3 linked regions of the Pelodiscus sinensis genome follow. The protein of the gene in region 1 purifies or fractionates together with the protein of each later gene. This does not show direct contact. Links are inferred from orthologs where the notes say so. Each region holds a gene or a part of one and is shown in the gene's direction. Other genes may lie near its edges.

The links. The genes of interacting proteins can lie anywhere in the genome.
Region 2: the proteins of FBXO10 (region 1) and PDE6D purify together in Homo sapiens (affinity purification with mass spectrometry; 3 studies listed by BioGRID and IntAct, with this or other methods). This does not show direct contact. The link is inferred for Pelodiscus sinensis from reciprocal best matches to the Homo sapiens genes FBXO10 and PDE6D.
Region 3: the proteins of FBXO10 (region 1) and ACSL4 purify together in Homo sapiens (affinity purification with western blotting; 3 studies listed by BioGRID, with this or other methods). This does not show direct contact. The link is inferred for Pelodiscus sinensis from reciprocal best matches to the Homo sapiens genes FBXO10 and ACSL4.

Annotation. Positions count from the first base shown.
Region 1 is NC_134716.1:740,255-748,057, forward strand, and holds the start of FBXO10 (F-box only protein 10), read left to right. Parts: upstream 1-4,793; 5' UTR 4,794-4,855; coding exon 4,856-4,957; intron 4,958-7,803. UniProt on the Homo sapiens protein: Substrate-recognition component of the SCF (SKP1-CUL1-F-box protein)-type E3 ubiquitin ligase complex. Mediates the ubiquitination and degradation of BCL2, an antiapoptotic protein, thereby playing a role in apoptosis by controlling the stability of BCL2.
Region 2 is NC_134720.1:49,903,271-49,911,193, forward strand, and holds the start of PDE6D (retinal rod rhodopsin-sensitive cGMP 3',5'-cyclic phosphodiesterase subunit delta), read left to right. Parts: upstream 1-4,911; 5' UTR 4,912-5,079; coding exon 5,080-5,129; intron 5,130-7,923. UniProt on the Homo sapiens protein: Promotes the release of prenylated target proteins from cellular membranes. Modulates the activity of prenylated or palmitoylated Ras family members by regulating their subcellular location.
Region 3 is NC_134723.1:28,414,355-28,421,319, forward strand, and holds the start of ACSL4 (long-chain-fatty-acid--CoA ligase 4), read left to right. Parts: upstream 1-3,953; 5' UTR 3,954-4,152; intron 4,153-4,211; exon of another isoform or gene 4,212-4,543; intron 4,544-6,965. UniProt on the Homo sapiens protein: Catalyzes the conversion of long-chain fatty acids to their active form acyl-CoA for both synthesis of cellular lipids, and degradation via beta-oxidation. Preferentially activates arachidonate and eicosapentaenoate as substrates.

The DNA of each region.
Region 1 (7,803 bases):
AGGAATTGTATAAATTGCTATTGTGGCCTCAGCCAGATATTCACGATGTAGGGAATTGTATGCTTCCCAGCTAATTACTGTGTCTAGGCGTCTTCATCACAGGTTTCATGCCAGGCTGCACTTTCGTTAGGTGAAAAGAACGCTCCGGCAGAGGAAGTGGCGCCTTCATTTTGGAGGGTGGAAAATGCAATTTACCTTCTGCCTAGCCGGATTAAATATCCCTGCCTCAGAGCACAGCTGTTTCAGCAACGTTACTGTCTGGGCCACCGTCGGGCTGCACAGTTCTGCAGGGACGGGCCGAGCAGCATGCAGGTCGGTAGGCATGGGGGGCGGGTATCAGAGGCAGGGGAAAGCAATGCCTTCCCACACTGCCAGGCTGTGGACCGAAGACAACGATCAAGCGATTTGTCTCCTGCCATCCCTCTCCAGCCTCTGACAAACAGAGGCCAGGGACACCATTTTATCCCCTGGCTAATAGCCCTTTATGGACCTAACCTCCATGAAATTATCTAGCTTCTCTTTAAACTCTGTTATAGTCCTAGCCTTCACAGCCTCCTCTGGCAAGGAGTTCCACAGGTTGACTACACGCTGTGTGAAGAAGAACTTTCTTTTATTAGTTTTAAACCTGCTACCCATTACTCACAGAGTTCCACTGTCAGGCATGGCCAGCAAGCCTGGATGTACAGTGTCTGGCAGACACATCGCTGCCTGTGAGAGGGCCGCCCTCCGTCCCTGGGGGAGAGGGATTCCGCTAACCCACACACCGTCGCAGGAATCGGAGGGCTGGAATGAGGGGCCATGGCGAGGGGCCTGGGAGGCAGCTGAGAGGGCGACTCACTGTGGGAAATGGGTGGGAGGAAGTTTTTGAATTTGAAGTACAAGCATTCCCACTGAAGAGCCTTCGAGCGCCCTCAGGATCTCCAGCCAATGGCGGAGAAGGAGCCTAATACGCCAGATTTATTCAAGTCCGAGTTCGCTGATACACAGGATCCTCTGTGACGTCTGTGCATGGGAAGGCCGGGCTCTGTGGGAACTAGCGCAGCGGTTTGCTAATGCAGGAGAAGCTGGCGATGCTGAGCAGGGTTCTGAAGCCTTGGGGGGGTGCTATTCTGGGAGGCGGTTTTGGCACGCACATGCCCTGGTACTACAGTGACGAGCAATGCATAAGAGCCGAAATCGGACACTCCAGGGCCAAGGGACCAGTCCTGAGTAGAGAACTGGCTTCAGTGCCTCCCTGGACAATAAGACTTTAATTTATTTGATTGACTTGCATTCTCAAAAAGTAAAATCCTTATGTTAAATTCCTCCATTTAGTATCCTATTATCTAGCAGTGCAGACGTTTTCTATTAACTTACATCCATTTTCTATTATCTAACAGTGCATACATTTTCTATTATTTGTTCTTTATCTTTACATTCCATTTGGATTAATGACAGGAATCGTATGCAAATTGCTGAGTCTTACTGGAGCTAACTAGCATTCCCTAGCACTTTACAAAGGAGGGCAATGTCCATGTTCCCATTTTACAGAAAGGGCAAGTGACTTCCCACGGTAGTGGAGCTGAGAATAAACCCCAGGTCTCCTAGGTCCCAGCCCAGAAGATGGGACAATGCAGCCCCATTTTCACTGTGCACCCCATGTGTACTCTGGAAGCAGCCATCAGCTCACCGAATCTGGAAAACACAGACTCCAGTTACACCCAAGTGTCTTCCATCTTTATTGCATCATTTCTCTGTTCACTAATTCAAATAAAAGCCAGTGCACTATCCGCTAGGCAGGGTCCTCGGTTGCCATAGGTTACCTGCTCTGTTTCTATATTAACGAAGGCAGTCTGACCACGGAGATTAATGACTGGCAGAGCTTTCTCTTGTTTCTTTGCAAGTATTTTTGGCACTAGCTTACCGTTGATATCAATCAGTGATATAATATGGTTCTACCTGGGACACTGGAGCCATGCTAGGATAAGGGTCCCTTGTAGCATAGGAAGAGGAACGGCCCATCATATGGCCTCATTAAACATGCAGAAGTGGGGCACAATTGTGTCTGAAAAATATTGACGCCTGTTTGTGGGGCGGGGGGGTGTCATACTGGGTATAAGTCTGAGCACTGGCTAGGTGAGTAAAACACTCAGATTGTGAGAAGAGTCACCTTAACTCAGCCCTTCTGGGTTCTCTGATACTTGCTGTTTTTTACTCTATCAATCGGGGCATTTAGCTGGCCTCCACTCCCACAAGAGCAACCAATCAAACCCTGGTTTCCTGGGTCACAGAGCAGAGGTTTCTAGCCATAAGCCCACCCTTCCTCAAAACTCTTCTCTTCTTGCCAGGGCGAGTCTAACTCTGCATTTCCTAGTCCTCCGCAGCTGTTTCCATCGGGGCGCTGCTATAGCGTGTGAGGTAAGAACAGTCGTGTGTTGACACCAGCCTTATGCTCTCAGGCCTGGTGGGAATCTCGGGGGCTTATGGCCAATGCAATCTCTGGGGCTGGCGACGACCACAAGCAATGATAGCCCTGGACGTTATGTCATGTCTCCTGGCTTGGGCAGGGAACAAACCCAAATATCCCTGCCCCAAAGGAGTGTACAGTGATGGATCTTATAGGACCCTACTCCTCCAAGCTGGATGGATGCACCAAGCCACATCTGGAGCTTTTCTCAAGGCCACGCAGCCAAGTCGCTCAAGTGTAAATGTAGCTCGGAGCAGGGGCCTGTTACTGTGTATGGCTCTAGTGTCACCTCGTGGCCAGATCTATATGACTCCTAGGGGCCGGTCCCCCGCACAGCTTCAGAGAGGCACCACGACCCTTAGTACGGCTGAGCCACAGGAACACAGCCAGCAGGCTGACCCTTCGAACACACTGGGACGACTTATCCAAAAGGACCACGGAGCAGGAGCTCGGTGAGCTTGCTGGGGGCTCCTGGCGCCAGGATCAGAGCTTTGCAGCAGGAATGACGCAATCTGCTCACTCCAAAGAGTCATGCACCTGCTCTTTGCTGAGCACTCTGGGAAAGATGACATGCTCCCACCCGAGGCCTGCACGTCCCATATGGGACTCCGCTTGGAGAGCGTGTTTGAAGCTGTAACTTGGAGTCCAGGCCAGCCCCATGGAGCGTTAGCCCCATGTGTCTCCGTTCCCTGGCACTCTGGCTCCATGCAGAACGAGGCGGGGAGGGAGAAGGCCTGTTTTACACTTGGATCCATGACCTGGAAGAAAATACAAAACCAGCCCTGAGAGAGCTTACAGATGACACACGAATGGGGAGAGTAGTTACAGGCTGGGTTCTCTCCTGGGAAGCAGCCACTCGGAAAGATCTGGGGGTCAGGGTGGATGAGCCGCTGAATATGAGCTCTCGGTGCAACCCGGGAGCCAGAAGGACTGATGCAATCCGGGGATGCAGAATGGCGAATCTCAAGTAGGAGGAGAGAGCTTATTTATTTTACTGCCGTGTTTGGCTCCGCTGTGATGGCTGCTGAATCCCGTGTCCAGAGCTGGTGCCCATGGTTCCAGGGGGGTAGTGATAAACTGAGAAGGGTCCACAGAACCATGCAAATGATGGGATCAGAAAACCCGCTGTGCAGTGACAAACTCAAGGAGCTCAACGTGTTCTGCCCAGCGGCGAGAAGATGAACGGGTGACGTGATCAGTCTGTAAGCAGGTGTGTAGACAAGCAAACGTGTAACCACCGGCTCTTCTGTCTGGCAGGGAAAGGTCGGACGGTCCCGCGGCTGGACAAATTGCGACAGGACCTACGGCACAGATTTGTAGCCGGGAGGTAACTGACCACTGGAATATTTTGGCCCAGGTCCTGGTGAGGTTGGCATTGGCGATTTGTAAATGAAGGGGGGTTCCTCACAGCTCTGCTCTGGGACTCCTTTGGGGCAGGGCTCTGCTCTGTGCTATGCAGGGGGTCTGAGATGATCACAACGGGCCCTTCTGGGCAAAATAATCCCGGCAGAGTTCTACCTACCTGTCTTCTTCTGCAACACCCGTCCCCTGGGGCAGCGTGGTGGGGCACAGACCGTGGGGCAGCGTGGTGGGGCACAGACCGTGGGGCAGCGTGGTGGGGCACAGACCGTGGGGCAGAGACCGTGGGGCAGCGTGGTGGGGCACAGACCGTGGGGCAGCGTGGTGGGGCACAGACCGTGGGGCAGCGTGGTGGGGCACAGACTGTGGGGCACAGACCGTGGGGCAGCGTGGTGGGGCACAGACTGTGGGGCACAGACCGTGGGGCAGCGTGGTGGGGCACAGACCGTGGGGCACAGACCGTGGGGCAGCGTGGTGGGGCACAGACCGTGGGGCACAGACCGTGGGGCAGCGTGGTGGGGCACAGACCGTGGGGCACAGACCGTGGGGCAGCGTGGTGGGGCACAGACCGTGGGGCACAGACCGTGGGGCAGCTTGGTGGGGCACAGACCGTGGGGCAGCTTGGTGGGGCACAGACCGTGGGGCACAGACCGTGGGGCAGCGTGGTGGGGCACAGACCGGCACTGGCCCAGCATGCGGGCGCTGGCGAGACTCCACTGCCCCAGCTGATCAGCAGGGTGCCCACCTCGGTGTGTTTCTGCTGGTGGTGCACATCGGCCCGCCTGGGCGCACAGAACAGGTAGGTATTCCGCACTGGCGGGGAAAGGCCAGAGGGAACACGGCCCCTCTCCGGCCAGGGGCCCCAGATCGGCCCGCGCCCTGGCGGCTAGCCCGGCTGAGCCACGGTGCGTGGAGGCGGGGCGCTGCGGGGAGAGCCGGGCGCTATGCCTGCGGATGGGCCCGGCGCTGGGCGGCTCTCGCTGCCCGGCGGGGCGGGGCGCGGAGGCCCGGCTCGCTCGGCTCCCGGCGTGCCCTGCCCACACGCATGTGATGCGGCGCCGCCAGCCCCGCGCCCGGCCGGGAGCCTCCCCGCGCCCCGCTCGCCCCCGCGCCCCGCTGCCGGGATGCGGCGGCCCCGCGGCGAGATCTGAGGTAGGGGCCGGGCTGCGAACTTGCGCGGGGCCAGGCGGTGCAAGAGTGGGGAGCTCACGGGGCAGGGGTGCACGGGGTGGGAAGTTCATGGGGCGGGGGTGTGCATGGGGCAGCGGGAGGGTGGGGGGCAGGGGTGCACGGGGCGGGAAGTTCATGGGGCGGGGGTGTGCATGGGGCAGCGGGAGGGTGGGGGGAAGGGGTGCACGGGGCGGGAAGTTCACAGGGCAGGTGTATGTGGGGCAGCGGGAGAGTGGGGGTGCCCGGGGCGGGGATGTGCATGGGGCAGTGGCAGGGTGGGGAGCAGGGGTGCATGGGGCGGGAAGTTCATGGGGCGGGGGTGTGCATGGGGCAGCGGGAGGGTGGGGGGAAGGGGTGCACGGGGCGGGAAGTTCATGGGGCGGGGGTGTGCATGGGGCAGCGGGAGGGTGGGGGGAAGGGGTGCACGGGGCGGGAAGTTCATGGGGCAGCGGGAGGGTGGGGGGAAGGGGTGCACGGGGCGGGAAGTTCATGGGGCGGGGGTGTGCATGGGGCAGCGGGAGGGTGGGGGGAAGGGGTGCACGGGGCGGGAAGTTCACAGGGCAGGTGTATGTGGGGCAGCGGGAGAGTGGGGGTGCCCGGGGCGGGGATGTGCATGGGGCAGTGGCAGGGTGGGGAGCAGGGGTGCATGGGGCGGGAAGTTCATGGGGCGGGGGTGTGCATGGGGCAGCGGGAGGGTGGGGGGAAGGGGTGCACGGGGCGGGAAGTTCATGGGGCGGGGGTGTGCATGGGGCAGCGGGAGGGTGGGGGGAAGGGGTGCACGGGGCGGGAAGTTCATGGGGCAGCGGGAGGGTGGGGGGAAGGGGTGCACGGGGCGGGAAGTTCATGGGGTGGGGATGTGCATGGGGCAGCGGGAGGGTGGGGGGAAGGGGTGCACGGGGCGGGAAGTTCATGGGGTGGGGATGTGCATGGGGCAGCGGGAGGGTGGGGGGAAGGGGTGCACGGGGCGGGAAGTTCACAGGGCAGGTGTATGTGGGGCAGCGGGAGAGTGGGGGTGCCCGGGGCGGGGATGTGCATGGGGCAGTGGCAGGGTGGGGAGCAGGGGTGCATGGGGCAGGAAGTTCACAGGGCAGGTGCATGTGGGGCAGCGGCAGGGTGGGGAGCAGGGGTGCATGGGGCGGGAAGTTCATGGGGCGGGGGTGTGCATGGGGCAGCGGGGGGGAAGGGGTGCATGGGGCGGGAAGTTCACAGGGCAGGTGTATGTGGGGCAGCGGGAGAGTGGGGGTGCCCGGGGCGGGGATGTGCATGGGGCAGTGGCAGGGTGGGGAGCAGGGGTGCATGGGGCGGGAAGTTCATGGGGCGGGGGTGTGCATGGGGCAGCGGGAGGGTGGGGGGAAGGGGTGCACGGGGCGGGAAGTTCATGGGGCGGGGGTGTGCATGGGGCAGCGGGAGGGTGGGGGGAAGGGGTGCACGGGGCGGGAAGTTCATGGGGCAGCGGGAGGGTGGGGGGAAGGGGTGCACGGGGCGGGAAGTTCATGGGGTGGGGATGTGCATGGGGCAGCGGGAGGGTGGGGGGAAGGGGTGCACGGGGCGGGAAGTTCACAGGGCAGGTGTATGTGGGGCAGCGGGAGAGTGGGGGTGCCCGGGGCGGGGATGTGCATGGGGCAGTGGCAGGGTGGGGAGCAGGGGTGCATGGGGCAGGAAGTTCACAGGGCAGGTGCATGTGGGGCAGCGGCAGGGTGGGGAGCAGGGGTGCATGGGGCGGGAAGTTCATGGGGCGGGGGTGTGCATGGGGCAGCGGGGGGGAAGGGGTGCATGGGGCGGGAAGTTCACAGGGCAGGTGTATGTGGGGCAGCGGGAGAGTGGGGGTGCACGGGGCAGCGGGGTATAGTTAAGTGGTGGGGTGCCATAGGGGTTCGTGTCCTGCGCGAATGCCCCCCTGCTGGCTCATTGCTGGGGGGTGCGGCTGTGCTGCCTGTTTTCTGACCACCCCACTTGGCGGGGGAGCAGCGACTTGGCGTTTCGGGGGCCAGGGAGGCGGGCAGGCTGCAGCCAGGGACGCTGCGCTCCTGGCCGGTGCCGAAGGGAGCTGGGTGCCGCCCCAGCGCGGGGAGCGGTTCGGTTCTGTAAGAGGGGCGGGGTGGCTGGGGCGCCGCAGCCGCCCTCTGAGAAGCCACCGGGGCCTGCACACAACCACCTTGGGGTGCAGCTCGAAAGGCACCCGGCCCCTCTCCGCCCGCACCTGCGGTTTCAGGGCAGCGTTCGCGCCGGGGGGCGCCAGGGCTTTGCCCAGAGGCAGTAAGACCGGCCCTGCTCCCGGCGTCCGGCTGCAGGAATGGGGGGCAGGGTGTGCTGTGGCTCCAGCGCCGGGCGTGTGCCCCTCACCCGGGGTGCGAGCAGTGTTTCCCCTTAGCAGCCAGGCGCTGTTCCTGCGGGGTGACCCAGGGAGGGGCTCCTGCCCGCGCGCCGCTGGCTCGGGTCCCCGGTACGAGTGCGGGACCCCACAAGGGACCAGTCTGCATCTGCGTAGCCAGAGTCTGTCGCCCATCCCTTCGTGGCCGGCTGCTCTCCAGAGGGCACCCCCTCCCCGAGAGACCCTCTGCTGAGGCCCCTGCCCCGTCCGGGGACTATACCCGAGGCCTTGGCCGCCCCAGCTCGGCTCGTTCGCAGAACGCCTGCTTTCCGCCCTCCGGCCCTGACCCAGGGGCTGTTCCCAGGAAAGTCGGTGCCCTCCCATAGCTATGGGCGTCCCCACACTGCTGCAGGACGCGCTGCAGACTCATCCAGCCCCCTGCGAGGCTCCGTTTCCATTGGTGCCCTGCTGCTTGGCACTCTGCTGCTGGTCTCTATGGAGCCGCTCCCCTCGGGCG
Region 2 (7,923 bases), on another chromosome or scaffold:
ATTAAATTTCATTTGCTATTTTGTTGCCCAATCACTCAGTTTGGTGAGATCTTCTTGGAGTCCCTCACAGTCTGCTTCTGTCTTGACTATCCTAAACAGTTTGGTATCATCCGCAAACTTTACTACCTCACTGCTTACCCCTTTCTCCAGATCATTTATGAATACGTTGAACAGGATTGGTCCCAGGACTGACCGTTGGGGGACACCACTAGTTACCCCTCTCCATTCTGAAAATGTACCATTTATTCCTACCCTTTGTTTCCTGTCTTTTAACCAGTTCTCAATCCATGAAAGAACTTTCCCTCTTATCCCATGTTACTTGCCCTTTGGCTGACTGATGTACAAGTGCATATTTATTAGCAATATTGGTATACCCCGGTTACCCTTGACTGGCTGGTACTTCTTAGATATAAAACTGGATAATTTCCTTTTCCTTTTTGATCTTTAAAGCAGATGTTTTTTGAGCCAAATGAGTATCCTTCAGAAACTGGAAACCTATCCCAAGTTAAGTCTATACAGCAGAAATTGAAATAAGGATAGGTAAAATGTAAGATAGATATTGTCGTGTAGCAGGTCCTTTTGACCACGGTCTCGCGCGTATTGCCCTTACTGCCACACTAAAGCCCCTCACAAGAAAAACACAGGCTGCTGAGGCAGATCCAGAGATAGAGCTTGAAGTCCCTCGGGTGCTCAGCACAGTTCTCAGTAAACGGAACTTAACTTGGCAAGCACCCGGGCCAGGGGCCTTCAAGCCTCAGTAAAGGGAACTTAACTTGGCAAGCACCTGGGCCAAAAAGATAAGAGTAGGGACACAAGCTGTCCCACACACTAAGTTAACGAGCACTAAAAAACAGGACAAGATAGGAATAAGAGACATGAGCTGTCATATACATCAGTTAAGAAGCACCTGGAGCAGGGAAACAAAAAACATAGCTAGCTTTCACGTGTGCCAATCATGTCTGCATCAGGCACTGACCACAATCAGACGTCATATCACAAGGAAGGAACCCTGATATGTACACAGTACCACAAAATATCAAATAACCCTAATATGGTACCGGATGTTAAAATTATAGTATAAAGCACCCTGAGCCCTAAGTTCGGGGAGGTTCCGTATCAAGATAGAGGAAACGTATCGTCCAGCCTGGCTAAGGGGTTGATCACCCAAGGCCGCCTCCCACCCACCGAATCACGAAAGGGTGTACGAATCCGGAGCATGCTACGCGTTGTTTTTGTCTGTGTATCATAATTGTCACTGGGTTTGTAAGTATTGCTTAATATATTATTCATCAGCTTATTATTTTTGTATTGAATTTCTTTAATGTATGTTTTATTTGCATGCTACGTTGTCTTAAACAAATCAGAGACAGTAATTGAATATAATCAAATTGTAGTCAATAAAGTTTGTAATTGGTTAAGTACATTTAAGTCTCGGGCTTTCCTCCTTCACGGCCCTAGTCCCTTGCCACAAAACATCACTCCTAGACAATCTATTGAGCCTCTGGTTCATCATATATCAGGTATGCAAAGTGGGAATTGATGAGCAAACAGCCAAAACATGACAAAAAAATAATAAAAGGAAACTTTTTTTCCCAATTCATCTGTGGAACTCACTGCCATTTAATAGCAGTGAGGTCAAAAGATTGTTAGACTTTTAAAAGAATGAAGGCTTATTGATAATGAAAACATTAAAATAACCATAGGTAGGATAAAAAACAGATTAAAACCCACTCTGTTTCAGGTCATAAGCCAGCACAAACTGATAGGAGTGAAGAAGAAACATTTCCTATCTGGAGATAACTGCCCACTATCATTTCTTGTGGACATGTGCGAGCACACACATACCCCATCCTATGACACATCTTGTATTGGCCACTTTTGTAGTTACAATACTGGACTAGACTAGAGGGTCCCATTGGCTGATCTGGCAATGCCTACATTCCAAGGAAATCATATGACAAATATTAACACAGTACAGTTAGGTATTTTAAACTCAGGGCATATGAAAATTAAACTGGGAACCACAAATCAGCCCCTTGTGTGTGTATATATTACAGTACTCTTGATTCCATTCCATTTGGTGGAAAAAAACTGCATGCTATCATATTATTTGAGAAACAGTATGTGACACCATGCAATTAACACTGAATTGTATGCTTGTACAAGGGGAAGAGCTAAAGGTCTGTGGTCCAATGCCTCTCCCCTCCCCCTGAGCCAGGCACTCCCAGCCCCCTCCCACCTAATGCCTCCCCCTTCCCCCAGAGCCAGGCACTCCCAGCCTCCCCAACCTAATGCCTGGGTCCCGGAGCTGCCCACCACACATAGGGTTGCCAGGACAGTCCAGTATTTGTACCCTCTGACTGGTAGAAAAATTCTGAAAATACTGGACACGTACAATGTCCGGTATTTTCTGAGTTCCCTGCTGGGCGCTGGAGGGAAGCCTGGTGGGGGCGGAGGAGCGACTGGGAGGCGGGGCCGTGATTGGCTCTGGTAGCCCTGTGGTCACGTGCAAACGCTGGGCGGGGCGGAGGCAGTGGCTGGTCCCAGCCACTCTTCCCGCCCAGCTTTTGCACGTGACCAGAGGCTCCCAGCACCAATTGCAGCCCCGATTCCCAGCTGGGAGCCTCTGGTTGTGTGCAGAAGCCGGGCGGGGGGAGTGACTCGCAGGCCTTCCCCCTACCCCCGCCCCCGCAACTAGAGGGAGTGCCTGCCGGGGCCGCGGCCCGAAGGACTCCGGCTGTGGCCAGTGGCTGCACCCCGTCCCCCCCACCAGCTCTGCTTCCCGCCCCCCTTCCTCTGGGCCTCCCTCTCCTTCCGTCCAGTCCCGTGGCCCCCGATCCCCCCCGCTCTGCTTCCCAGCTCCCCCCTTTCTCCCGGCGAGCCCCACGGCCCCCAGACCCCCCCCCCCCCCCCGCCAGCTCTGCTTCCCGTCCCGCCCCCCTCCTGGCCAGCCCCACCCCCGTCCCAGCCGGTTTTTGGCGGGGTCTACCTGGCAACCCTAGCCACACACTTCTTCCTCGGGTGCTGGGGTGGTGTGAGTACAGCGGCCAGCTGTGAGCAGGCACTTGAAGCCTGCGCAGAGCAGCCCGGCCAGCCAGGAGCACGTGCTGGGGACCGTGAGCAGAGCAGCCCAGCTGGCCGCGAGCAGTTGCTGCGGTGCCGTGTGTAGAGCGGCTGACCGTGTGTGATCTGCACTTGGCCATGTGCTCCGAGCAGCCAGCAGGCCGCACTTTATCCTTTTATAAAATGTAGTGGTGGGCCACAAAAAACTTCGATCTGGCTGCATGTGGCCCTCCAGCCGCCTGTTTGACATGTCTGGTCTAGATGGTGTTGAGTCCGGCTGTGAGGGCAGGGGACTGGACTCGCTGTCCTCTCAAGCTCCCTTCCAGGCCTAGTGGTCTATGATTCTATGTCCATCCACGGGCATAGGGCCTGACTGTGAAATGCTGCAAGCGGAACTGTACTTGCGACCTCTGGAGCTTAGTGCATTAACCTCTAGCACAAGGGGGGGAGGCAATAATTTTTGGTGGGGCCAGGATGCTTCTGGGCTACCCCAGCCCCAGACCATGATTGGTCTCGGGGTGGGGGAACCCCTTTGCCCCCCTTCCCATTAGGCACCCATGCCCCTGGCAGGGCGGGAAGAGGCGTTGCATGCTCCCCCAACCCCAGGCCAATCAGAGCCTAGGGGTGGGGAAGTGTGCGAAGCTCCCTCCCACCCTGCGAGGAGTGCATGGCACTTTGAAGTGCTGCAGGACGAGGGGAGGGCAGAGGAAACTTTGCGCACTCCTCCCACCCCCAGGCCAAGCAGCACTTGGAGGCGGGGGAGCACGTGATGTCTCCTCCCACTCTGCAAGGAGCGCATGGTGCTTCAAAGCGCTGCATGGTCCTGCCAGGGTGGGAGGAAGCTTCGCATTTCCCCACACCCAGGTCCTAATTGGCCTGGGGGTGGGGGAAGCGGCAGGGCCTCCGTGGGCCAGATCAACCCACTCGGTGGGCCGGATCTGGCCCACGGAGGCCCTTTTGCCCACCCCCAGGAGTGGCCTGAGGCCGGCTGTGGCAGCTGGCGCCCTAGGCGGAAGGCGCGATCAGCGGCCCCGCCTGCACTGCCGTCAATGGCCGTGACGTAATCATGGGGCGCCCCGGCCAGCGTCGGTCTAGGCTATTGCCTAGTTTGCCTAGGTTCATGGGACGCCCCTGCCCTCCCCTGCTCTAGCACTTGAGCTAAAAGTCAGTTGGATCTCAGCTAAGGCTGTAGAGCAGACTCATTATTCTCTCTGCAAGTGGTCTCAGTGCCCCAGCTGGGACCATGCACTATACCCAGTCGGGGTGCAGCTACATACAGGGGAGGGAGCAGGCAGGCAAGGCTGACATCACACCCTAGGGAACATTATGGGGTACAGGCTGACCAGGATATGCGAGTTGCTCTCTGGCCCATGTTGGGATGTCGGATGGTTAGCCCTTCGAGGGGGGACTGCAGGCGGAAGCACTCGCCCTTTGCAGCAGGAGGCCCAGTGCAAGGGGTGGTGGTGCTGGGGGCCACAGCCAGCTGTTTTACTCCTATAGCTGCTGGGGGGTGGGGTTGCCCAAGTGTGCCAGGTCCTAAGGATGGGGGCTCCCTGCCCCTGCAGCCAATGCTGCCGCCGGCAGGGGGCGCAGCGAAGCACCCTCAGCGGCGCATGCGCAATTGCGCGGCAGCGCCCCTTGTGGCCGAGACCCGCAGCTGCAGCTCCGCTCCTGGCTCCCGCCTCCGTCTCTCGGCGACGTCAGTTTGCTGGGACGTGCCCCTTAGCGACCGCCGCGCAGCCTCCCTTCCTGCGCGCCGCAGACGGCGCTGCCTGATTGGCTGCGGGCGCTGTCGGTCGGGAGCGAGGGGGCGGGGCGCGGTGGCGCGGGGCGCGGCGATTGGCCGGCGCTCCCAGGGGCGGGGCGGCTCCGGTCCGCTCTGGTTGGGGGTGTCGGACGGTGGCGGGTGCAGCGTCCCGAGCGCCGCGGTCGCTGTCCCGGTGAGGCCCGTGAGCGCGCCCAGCCCCCCTCCCCCCCGCCCGGCTCCGGGGCGCGGAGCGGAGCCGCCGCGGGACCATGTCGACCAAGGACGAGCGGGCCAAGGAGATCCTGAGGGGATTCAAGCTGTATCCGCCGGGCGGGGGAGGGGCCGGTTCGGGGGGGGAGGGGCGGCGAGCAGGGCCCCCCCCCCCGGTGCTGTCACCGAGCCCGGCGCGTGCTGAGGAGCGGGGCGCAGATCCGCTGCCCCCCCCCCCCCGGCCAACTGCGGGGGGGCCCGCCAGGCTCCGTGCCGGGTTACACCTGTGGGGGGGGGGGGGGGCAGCGGCTGCGCCGTCCCGCGTCTCCCGCTGCGCGGCGGGACCCGCCGTCCCCCCGGACCCCCCATCCCTGCCGAGTTGATCCGCTCGCGGGAGCTGTCCAGGCGTGGCTGCTGCTGGACAGCAGGTAGGGCAGCTGGCGAGCAGCCGTGCCTGGTGCTCCAGGGTTGTGGTTTCATTTTTGCTCGGGAAGCAGAGCTTGGGCGAGGGAATGAAAAGTAGGCAGGTGTGTCTGTGTGGGCAAAGTCCTGAGACGCGGATGATCACTGCCTCTCACCGCAGTCCTATCCCTTCTTTCCCAGCCTTACGCTCTGAATAGTGGCTGCAACTTAAGGATCCACCTCTGCTTGGCAGGGAAACGCCTAACTTCAAAGTCCAAAAGAGGTGTAGATAAGTAGCTACCTTGTTCCTTTGGTTGACCCAAAAATCCCCCCCTCTTTTGCCTATCAGGCAGTGGGATGTGGTACAGCTTGCTATCTAGAGTGCTTGTTGTGTGTAATCACTAACATGGTATACATTGCCCTTCCATGGGGCCCGCTGATGCTCATCTTAAATTTGTATGTGCTTTGTTTAACTGAGCAAGAAGTGAAACCTAAGGCAAGAAGGAGAATTGAAATCCTGGATTCCTCGCCTACCCAGGATTTTAGTAAAGGGTGGAAAGATTCCATTAAAAAGGAGTACATGTGTGAAAGGAGTAGGAGAAATAGGGTAAGTTTATTTTAAAAGACCCAGCCTTTCATTTTTCAGTGTAATGAATGTAAAGTAGGAAGGTGCTGGTCTTGGTCTGGACGCTAGGGGAAACTGTAGTTACTGATCAAATTCAAGAGAGCAAAAGTAGTAGTGTCTACTGTGGTACTGTAGTATTTTTGGTTATTTTGCTTGCTGAGATTTTTGCTGCATCAGTTTGTATATAATCTCTAACAGCTGTGGAATGATGTTCTGAGCTGTTCTATGTAGGATTTAATCAACTAGCTACCATCTGAAAGTGTGAGCAGATGTTTCTCCCTGTGAAAGTATGGTATTTCCCCCCCCCTCTTTTTAGCAGTGATCCCCCTGTATCCAGTCAGTCTTAAAAATATTTTTTCTGGAGTAGCAGCATTGGAAGTTCTTCCTTGTACATGCAGCTGTCATGTTTCAGTTGTCAAGAATATTGTTACCAAGGCTGAGATGTTCAGGCTATTAGAGAAGATTAAACTTTTGACAAATTTAAGCTAACAAGCTAGAGTCTTCATTTCCCACTAGCTCAAGACCTCAGACGTGCACAGGGCATAAACTCCAGCTGCTAGTTTTTATTTGGCCCTCCAGCATTTGCGGGCTAGGAAACTTAAGCAGCAGCTATATTTCAGTGATGGATGGGACGGATACAATCCCTGTGTATAGTTGATTAAAATAATAAACTTTTTCAGTTTTAGCAAGGGAAGATGTTGTGCAAATGTAAGGGTGCATCTGTACAGCATTAAACACCTAGAACTAGTTTTACTTCAATGGTGAGAAGCAGCTTTTATCACTTATTTGTATTTTGCTCTGGCAATGTGAAGTGAGTGTAAAACTGCCATAGTGGAATAAAAGGGTATTGGTATAAACCAGACTCATGCTCAATGAGTTTGATGAACTATGCTCATTTACATGGAGGCCTTGTCTGTACTAACATGAGCCTTTGACCTAGGTTACGCAGGTTTTAACTTGAAATAAGGCTACACAAATTGAGCTATGTGTAGCATATTTTAAAATTGGGAGCATCTACATAGAACTTTTTCCTTCATGGAGAAGGTCTAGGTTGGATATTAAGAAAAACTATTTCACTAGGAGGGTGGTGAAGTGTACTGGAATGGATTACCTAGGGAAGTGGTGGAATCTCCATCCCTAGAGGTTTTTAAGTCTCAGCTTGACAAAGCCCTGGCTGGGTTGATTTAGTTGGGATTGTTCCTGCTTTGGGCAAGGGGCTGGACTCAATGACCTCCCGAGGTCTCTTCCTGTGATTCTGTGATTCTATTCCCTTATGCCTCGTACAATGAGGGTTACAGGAGTAGGAGTAAGAAACCCTTCAGTTTGACAGTATTTTGACATTCTTTTGAAATAACTGCCTGCTTGTGTAGATGCAGACTAAATTATTTCAAAATAGCACTGTCGTGTAGACTTACCCTCAGAGATAGTGTAGGCAAGGCAATATCTTTTATTGGAGCAACTTCTGTTGGTGAAAGAAGTTAATCCAATAAAAGTTATTACTTCACCCACCTTCACTCCCTCTAATTCCTAGGACTGACATAGCTATACTACCACTGCATATGCAAATGTGAAATTAAATAGTTTCCAGTAGACCAGTGTAGGACTAATGTAATTAATTTTAACACACATTATGGCCCATCTTAGTAGCTTAATGACAATGCTGAGCACCATCATTTGGGAGCAACATAAGTTCAGTTTCATTTGCTCCTTCAAAATGACAGGGTCTTGGAATAGTATAGAAATTGAGCCCTGATGGAGGAATTGACAAAAAGCAAGTATCACATGGAAAGTGATGTCTTTTGATTCATTAGAAAACATCATTTAAATACTTAAAGAAGCATGATTTAGACTTCATTTGTAAGGCTGCTGTCTGATG
Region 3 (6,965 bases), on another chromosome or scaffold:
GGTGCTAGAGTAGAGGTTGAGGGCATCAGGGAAGATCTGTGATGTCCCCTCAGGGCTGATGCCAGAGCACTTGGGGATGAAGCCACAATCCTGCGCCACCAAGAGTCCCTCTCTTTCCGTGAGGTCAGCGCCTGGGTCAGGGACAAAGTCAGCTCGATTAGGCCTCTCGCAGCTTCAAAGGTATCTGGCATCAATGGTTCTGGGAAGTCTTCCGCTGGGCTGACATCCCAGCGCAGGTTGGAATGAAGTCTGGAAAGAAGGTCCGGATGCCAAGCCCACTGTGGCCCCGTACCCTTCCTGAGGGTGCACTGTGGGCATGTGCCGCGATGGAGACTGGCCCCTGCTTGGCCTCTATTTCTCCTGTGGCACCAGGGATTGAGAATGGTGCTGGCACTGTCTCGGTGTTGAGGAGTCCCTGGAGTGGCCGGGTGCCTCATACACTGAGGCTGGTGCACTCTGTGTGGTTGGTGCGGAGTCCAAGACCAGTGACAGATGGAAAGCCGCCTCCATAAGCAATATTTTAAGGTGAGTCTCACGCTCCCACTTGGTTTGCGGCTTGAACCCTCTGCAAATCTTGCAGGACTCCAAAAGATGGCCCACCCCCAAGAACTTTAGGCAGGCTTCATGGGGATCTCCACAGGGCATAGGCTTTGAGCACTTGACACAGGGCTTGAAGCCTTAGGGTCCAGGCGTACCCTGCCACAGGTGCTGGGAGCGCAAAGTGAGTCCCTGACCCAGAACGAATCACTTAACACTAAGAACTATTTATAGAAAATAATGAACGATTAACAGCAACTCTAACTAAACTAAGGCAACCACTAAGTAAGAACTGCTAGGGAGGGCTTCCAGAGCAAGAGCAGAGCACGTTCCATTGACCATCATGGGCGGTAAGAAGGGGTGGGGGCCAGTAGGGGTATATATTAGCTGATATAGTGGTGGAGGCTTCCCTGCTGGCCCAACAGGTACTGCTAAGGGAAAAACTTCTGTCGATGCACGCATGCAGTGTGCACACACCTACATGGAATGGACATGAGCAATCACTCAAATAATAAGAGTCTGAGACATGGCTGTAGAGGGGAGCCCCTTTAAGCACAAGCCTCAGATAGCCTCAGGAAGCAGCTACAGGAAGTGACTGCTGTCTTGATGCTCTGAGTTGAGTGTTTCCGGGGGGCCTTAAATGCCATTCAGGCTCCAAAGAATGTGGGCACGCTCTTTCAATATAGATCTGTGCTATTTCAATGGGGATTTGTAGTGGGGACATGTCATTTCAAAATAGTTATTTTTATTATGTTGAAATAACTTATTTCAAAATAATCTTGTATTGTAGACATAGCCTAGAATAAGCTAATGAAATAAATAATATTTAAATAGATCTTAATCTGTATGTCTAAGTTGATTCTGCCTTCTAGATCTCCTAATGCCTCTCCCTTTTCTGTTCTTAGATCGTAAGCTCTCTGGAATAGGAAAACTTTATAGCGGGGCTACTCAACTTTGGAAGCCGCAGGAGCCACAATGATACTCACAGCACATGCCGAGGGTCGCAACTTAAGTGTGGTTGCACATACATGCAAAAATATATGCAAATATATGCAAATAGCTTCTTTCACACTGACTGGCATGAAAAAAAAGATTAAGCCTTAAGCCACGGCACCAGACCCAAACATGGCCAGTTAGTACCTCTCAGGCTCTCCCCACAAGGCTAAATAGCTAGCACTTCCCACAATGCACTGGCACTCCCAGCACCTCCTCCCTGGGGGCCAGAAATGCCAACACGATGTACCCATTTGTTCCAGCCAGCCCGTCCACCTGCGTCTTTAATTGCTCACCCTGCCTTGCCATTGTGGAGCATGTTCCCAGTGGAGTCCATGTTCAAGGGATCCCACCTGCAAGCTGTGTGTTGAGCCCTGCATAAACCCAAACCAGACTGCAGGCTGCAAACAAATGGGCTGTGGGCCTCATGCAGCCCATGGGCCATGTGTTGAGTAGCCCTGCTTTAATGTCCTGGTTGGTGTAACAGATTGTGACGGCGCGTTGGGGGTCCCCCGTCTCCTGCACCCCAAAATGGCACAAACAGACTCCACCAGCCAGTGGAATTGAGGGTGGTTTATTGCTCCTCCAGGATACAGCATAGCACAGATGTAATCTGGTTACAGGAACTGGGGCTAAGAGGCCTCAGTGCTCCCCTTGAGATGGGGGGTTCCCAGCCCCCCTCCCCAGCTCCTTCTCCCCTGCTTTCCAGACAGGAACTAACTAATTGCAGCCAGGGCAGCATTCCACCTTCCTTTGTTCCTCTCCATGGGGGGTGTCTGGTTCAACAAGTTTGGCTTTACCTTTGCATAGTGAGGTTTTCCCTGCTGGGTCTTGCTCCATACAGCAGGGGTCACCACAGCCCAGCAAGTACCCCCACTACGTCACACAGATATGACAATTTCTTGCAATATCCTTGAAAAATGTCTTGCTGAATTAAGTTTAAGTATTTAAGTGTCTTTGGAACCCATCACACTAGTTTATGTATTTTTGTCTGCCAGGATTGTATATAACCTCTCTAGAAGGGAAACAGGATATTATTAATCTTGCGAATACTGTATTTATGAATTTCAAAGAACTATATCAAACAATATATCATGCAAGAATGGACTTTCGGAATAAACAGTGTCAAGTGTTCACCTGGGCAATCTCTAGTGAGAGGTGAGTGCAAATTCCCCTCTTGCTTCTGCAAAACCCAGTTTATTGAAGCTTTGTCCAGAAGAGAGCACCATTATATGCTGATTACCAGTTTTTAGTCTGAAGGTTAGAGGCCTAAGGTGTACAAAGGAAATACTAACCTATTCCAACAGAACATGCCATGAACTTGTAACACCTTGAAAAACTCAGTTCTGGAGTTTGGAGGACTGACACCTACCAAAACCCTAGGATATGTCTACACTAGCACTTTTGTTGGTAAAACATTTGTTGGCCAGAAGCGTGAAAAGACCAACAAAAGATTCACCAACAAAAGTATCAGTGTGGACAGCATTGTGTTGGTTGGTTAGTGTGCATGTAGGTTATTTTAACGTTTTATTACATTTTCTCTGTTTTCATCTTAAACAAATGTGCTTCTTAGAAATAGCTGTGTGGTAACTTGTAACTGCTACCATTTATAGTTTTTCATAGACTTTGGGCAAAAAGTAAAGCACAGATGCTGACCTGTTTGGGCAGTCTGGCTTGCTGGAGATATCACAATATAGGCAGGGAATTGTGCTGTCTGGAGAAAACCTGGTCACGAGTGGGGAGATGTAGATCTCTGCCCAAGAGAGATGATGGCCTAAAAGTGGGTGCCATGGAGGGGGAAATAGGTACAGTTGCTCTGAAATGTAACAGATGGCATTTAACAAATAATTAAATATGAAGCCCCCAAAGGCTGGAGTTTAATAAATAAAGCAGTCCTGTATGATCTCAAAACAGCTTTTGCAGCTACTCATGTCATGTGTCCCCTCAGTTGGGGGTAGGGTCACTGTCATATTTTGGGGGACTACCTGGGCAAGTTTGAAAGCAATAAAAATGAGACCTGCCTAAGTCACTCTCCCATGGAGTCTTTTACATTCACTTGCTTGTTACTTCCCACACATCTCTAATTACTCTCCCATGCATTCCTCTGCTCCTTCCTGTCCTGTTTAGGTCTCATTAATGCTTCTTCCTCCTCATTCCTGCTTTCTCCACTCCATTCCCTGCATTACCAAACTCACCCCTTCTCCTTTCTCACCACCTACTCTCCCCTACACTGCACCCCCGCTCCTTCCTCCCTCTGTTCCCCCCATGCCTCATCCCCTGCTCCTTCCTCCCTCTGCTCCCCCCCCACCTCATCCCCTCTGCTCCTCCCTCTGCTCCCCCCCCACACCTCATCCCCTCTGCTCCTCCCTCTGCTCCACCCGCTCCCCACACGCTTCCCTCTCCCTGCTCCTTCCTTCCTCCCCCCCCCCCCCCGCTTCCCCCCAGCCCACACCCGCTCTGGTCCGGCGATGGCGTCAGCGGAGCCGACAGGGGGGATTGGCCGGCGGGGCACGCGCCCCTCCTCCCGCTCTCCCTGAGTTCTCAGCCATTTTAAACAGCGGAAGGAGGCAGCAGCCGGGTTCGCTGCAGCCGGAGTCTGGAATCTGCGCGCGCCACGAGCGGGTGAGTGCGCCCCTCCTCCCCGCGCCAACGGCCGTTCGCGCGCCGCCGGGTGCTTGCTGCGCTTGTGGCCCGGGGCTGAGGGGGTCGCTGCGCCCACGCTGCCCGGGGAGCTCGGCGGGTGGGGGATTCGCCGGCTGCCCATGGGGCGGGGAGGTGACGCTGAGGCTGGCCCCAGGCTGCGGCCTGTCAGCGACAGCGCCTTCCTGGGCGGGCTGCCCCGGGGAGGCGTCGCGTGGGCGCTGCCCGCCCTGCGGGCTACCGGCCGGCGTAGACAGGTCGCGGCGGTGATGGGGAACTGAGGACAGCGTAGCCCGCGCAGGCCCCTGGGGAGCCGCCCGCCTTTCCAGCGTCTCCCCTCCCCCGCTGCCTGCTCCCGGTGGCTGCACACACGGTAACATCTCTGGGGCGCGGGCTGGGTCTGACTCCGCTTCCTGCCGCGTGCCCTGAGCAATAATCTCCCCACTTGCACGTGCCTTCAGGGGTGCGGAATGCCCAGCAGGTGTCTGGAGTGTGGCACTTGCCCCCGGCAGTGTCTCCTCAGCCCTCCGTTTCCTGCCTCGGTACAGAGCAAGTTGCCGTGGTTGTCCTGCATCAGAAACGTCTCCCGTCCCCCCCCCACCCCACCCCATTCACAGCTGTTCTCGCAGGGCTGGATGCAAAGCAGATGGCCCTTTGTGGCCTCGGCAGTCATCCTTCCTCTTACACACGCCCCCTTTCTGGATGCAGAGAAGAAGGTTGGGCTCAGGAAGTGGCCTGATGCTGATGTAGCACACGGGGGGGGGGGGGGGAAAGGAAAATGTGATTCATTGCTTAGCATCATCCAAGGCTGCATATCTTCTGTTGCACGTCATGACAAGATCATATACTAAATGCAGAACAAGAAAGTGGCGTATTCCTTTTTGAAATACAAGCTGAACTTGATAGAATTGTAAAAATTTTGCTGTGTAGTTTTTGGCGGTTGCCTTTTAAGCCGATTTAAAAGCATACAGGTGTACTTAGTGCATCTGAGGTAATGGCACTAAATGTGGCAATTTGGGAGCACTAGGAATTAATTTTTCTGGATAATTTATGAAGTCCAAGTTCTGTAGTAATTCTGTTTACCAGTTGTTGATCTGAGGAAAAGAACATACTGTAACTGTGATGGAAATAATTGTTCTCTTTTTCTGATTGTCATCTTACTTATTGGCTGTGTCTACACTGGCATGAATTTCCGGAAATGCTTAAAACGGAATACTATTCCGTTTTCAGTTATTCCGGAAAAGGAGCGTCTACATTGGCAGGCTGCTTTTCCTGAAAAGCCCTTTTTCCGGAAAAGCGTCTGTGGCCAATGTAGACGCGCTTTTCCGGAAAAGAACCCCAATCGCCATTTTCGCGATCGGGGCTTTTTTCCGGAAAAGACTACTGGGCTGTCTACACTGGCCCTTTTCCGGAACAGTGTTCCGGAATAAGGACTTATGCCCGAGCGGGAGCAGAATAGTTTTTCCGGAATAGTGGCTGATTTTGTACAGTAGAGCATCGTTGCTTTTCCGGAAATTCAAGGGCCAGTGTAGACAGCTCGCAGCTTATTCCGGAAAAGCGGCTGATTTTCCGGAATAAGTGGCCCAGTGTAGACACAGTCATTAAGTCTTCAAACAAAAACCTTTGCATAAAGGTTAATAGCATGAAAGATTTGGTCCAAGTTGAGAAACAACACAAATCAAGTGAATTGGCTGTCATAGTCACTGAAGAATTTTTTTTAATTGTCTGATTAAAACCTTCTATGTTGTTGCTACCATCTTAGGTTATTAAAACTGAAATATTAATCTAATTTACTTTTGGTCATTAATATTGTTTCTTACATTTTCAGCATTGCCTATCCCAACTACTCAAAAATCTGGAGTCAGGCCACAATAATCATGGGATTGTCTTAAAAATCATGAGATTTTTTTTAAATTTATTTTTTAGTATTAATATTTTTCTTCTGATCTGGGGATGTTTTAACGTTCATGTCAAGCTTTTCTCTACAATCACAATGCTTAGACTCTTTCTTTTAATAAAACAAAACCAGATTCTCATGTAATCTAAACAAGCAAACCCTACCTACTATGGTACTTATTTAAATCAGTAGTTGGCAACACTGCATTTCACCCTCACTTTGTCTAAAACTAGAGAGAGAATTCTTTAATCACCTCTAAAAGGCTTTATTCAACACAAATATTCAGATGTTTCTGAATGTATTTATAGTAAGTTAGAAATATCCTACCATGCTAGTTTAAAATTGAGTTAACGTTTGAACAAAGTGTTAAACAGGACTATGAGCCTGAGCCAAACAATTGAATTATATATATTTTACATATGTTGCTGGTTAATATTAGTGGCATTTTGGCAATTTAGGAGGAAAGTAACATTTTTTCATGGATGACTCAGATAAATTAAAAAAAAAAGAAAAGCTAATAATTATTGAGGGTACAGCAGAGCTGAAATGAATACATGAATAAGTTTCCATTGCATGTTTGGTTGTTTATTCAGTCATTTATCTTGAGGTCTAGCTTTTGAGGATAGCTAGGAGGAAAGGAAGTTTGAGTGGGAGAGTCTTTTTTTCCAGAAGGATGCAGGATGTACAGTCACTTTATAGTGCTTTTTTATTTTGGTAATAGAAATGTAGCTGTGTTAGTCTAGTCTAGCTGAAACAAAACACAGGACTATGTAGCACTTTAAAGACTAACAAGATGGTTTATTAGGTGATGAGCTTTCGTGGGACATGGGGGGGAAACTATCACCCCAGTTATCACCTCTAATATCACTAGCTCACAGACATTTACCTCCCCTCTTAA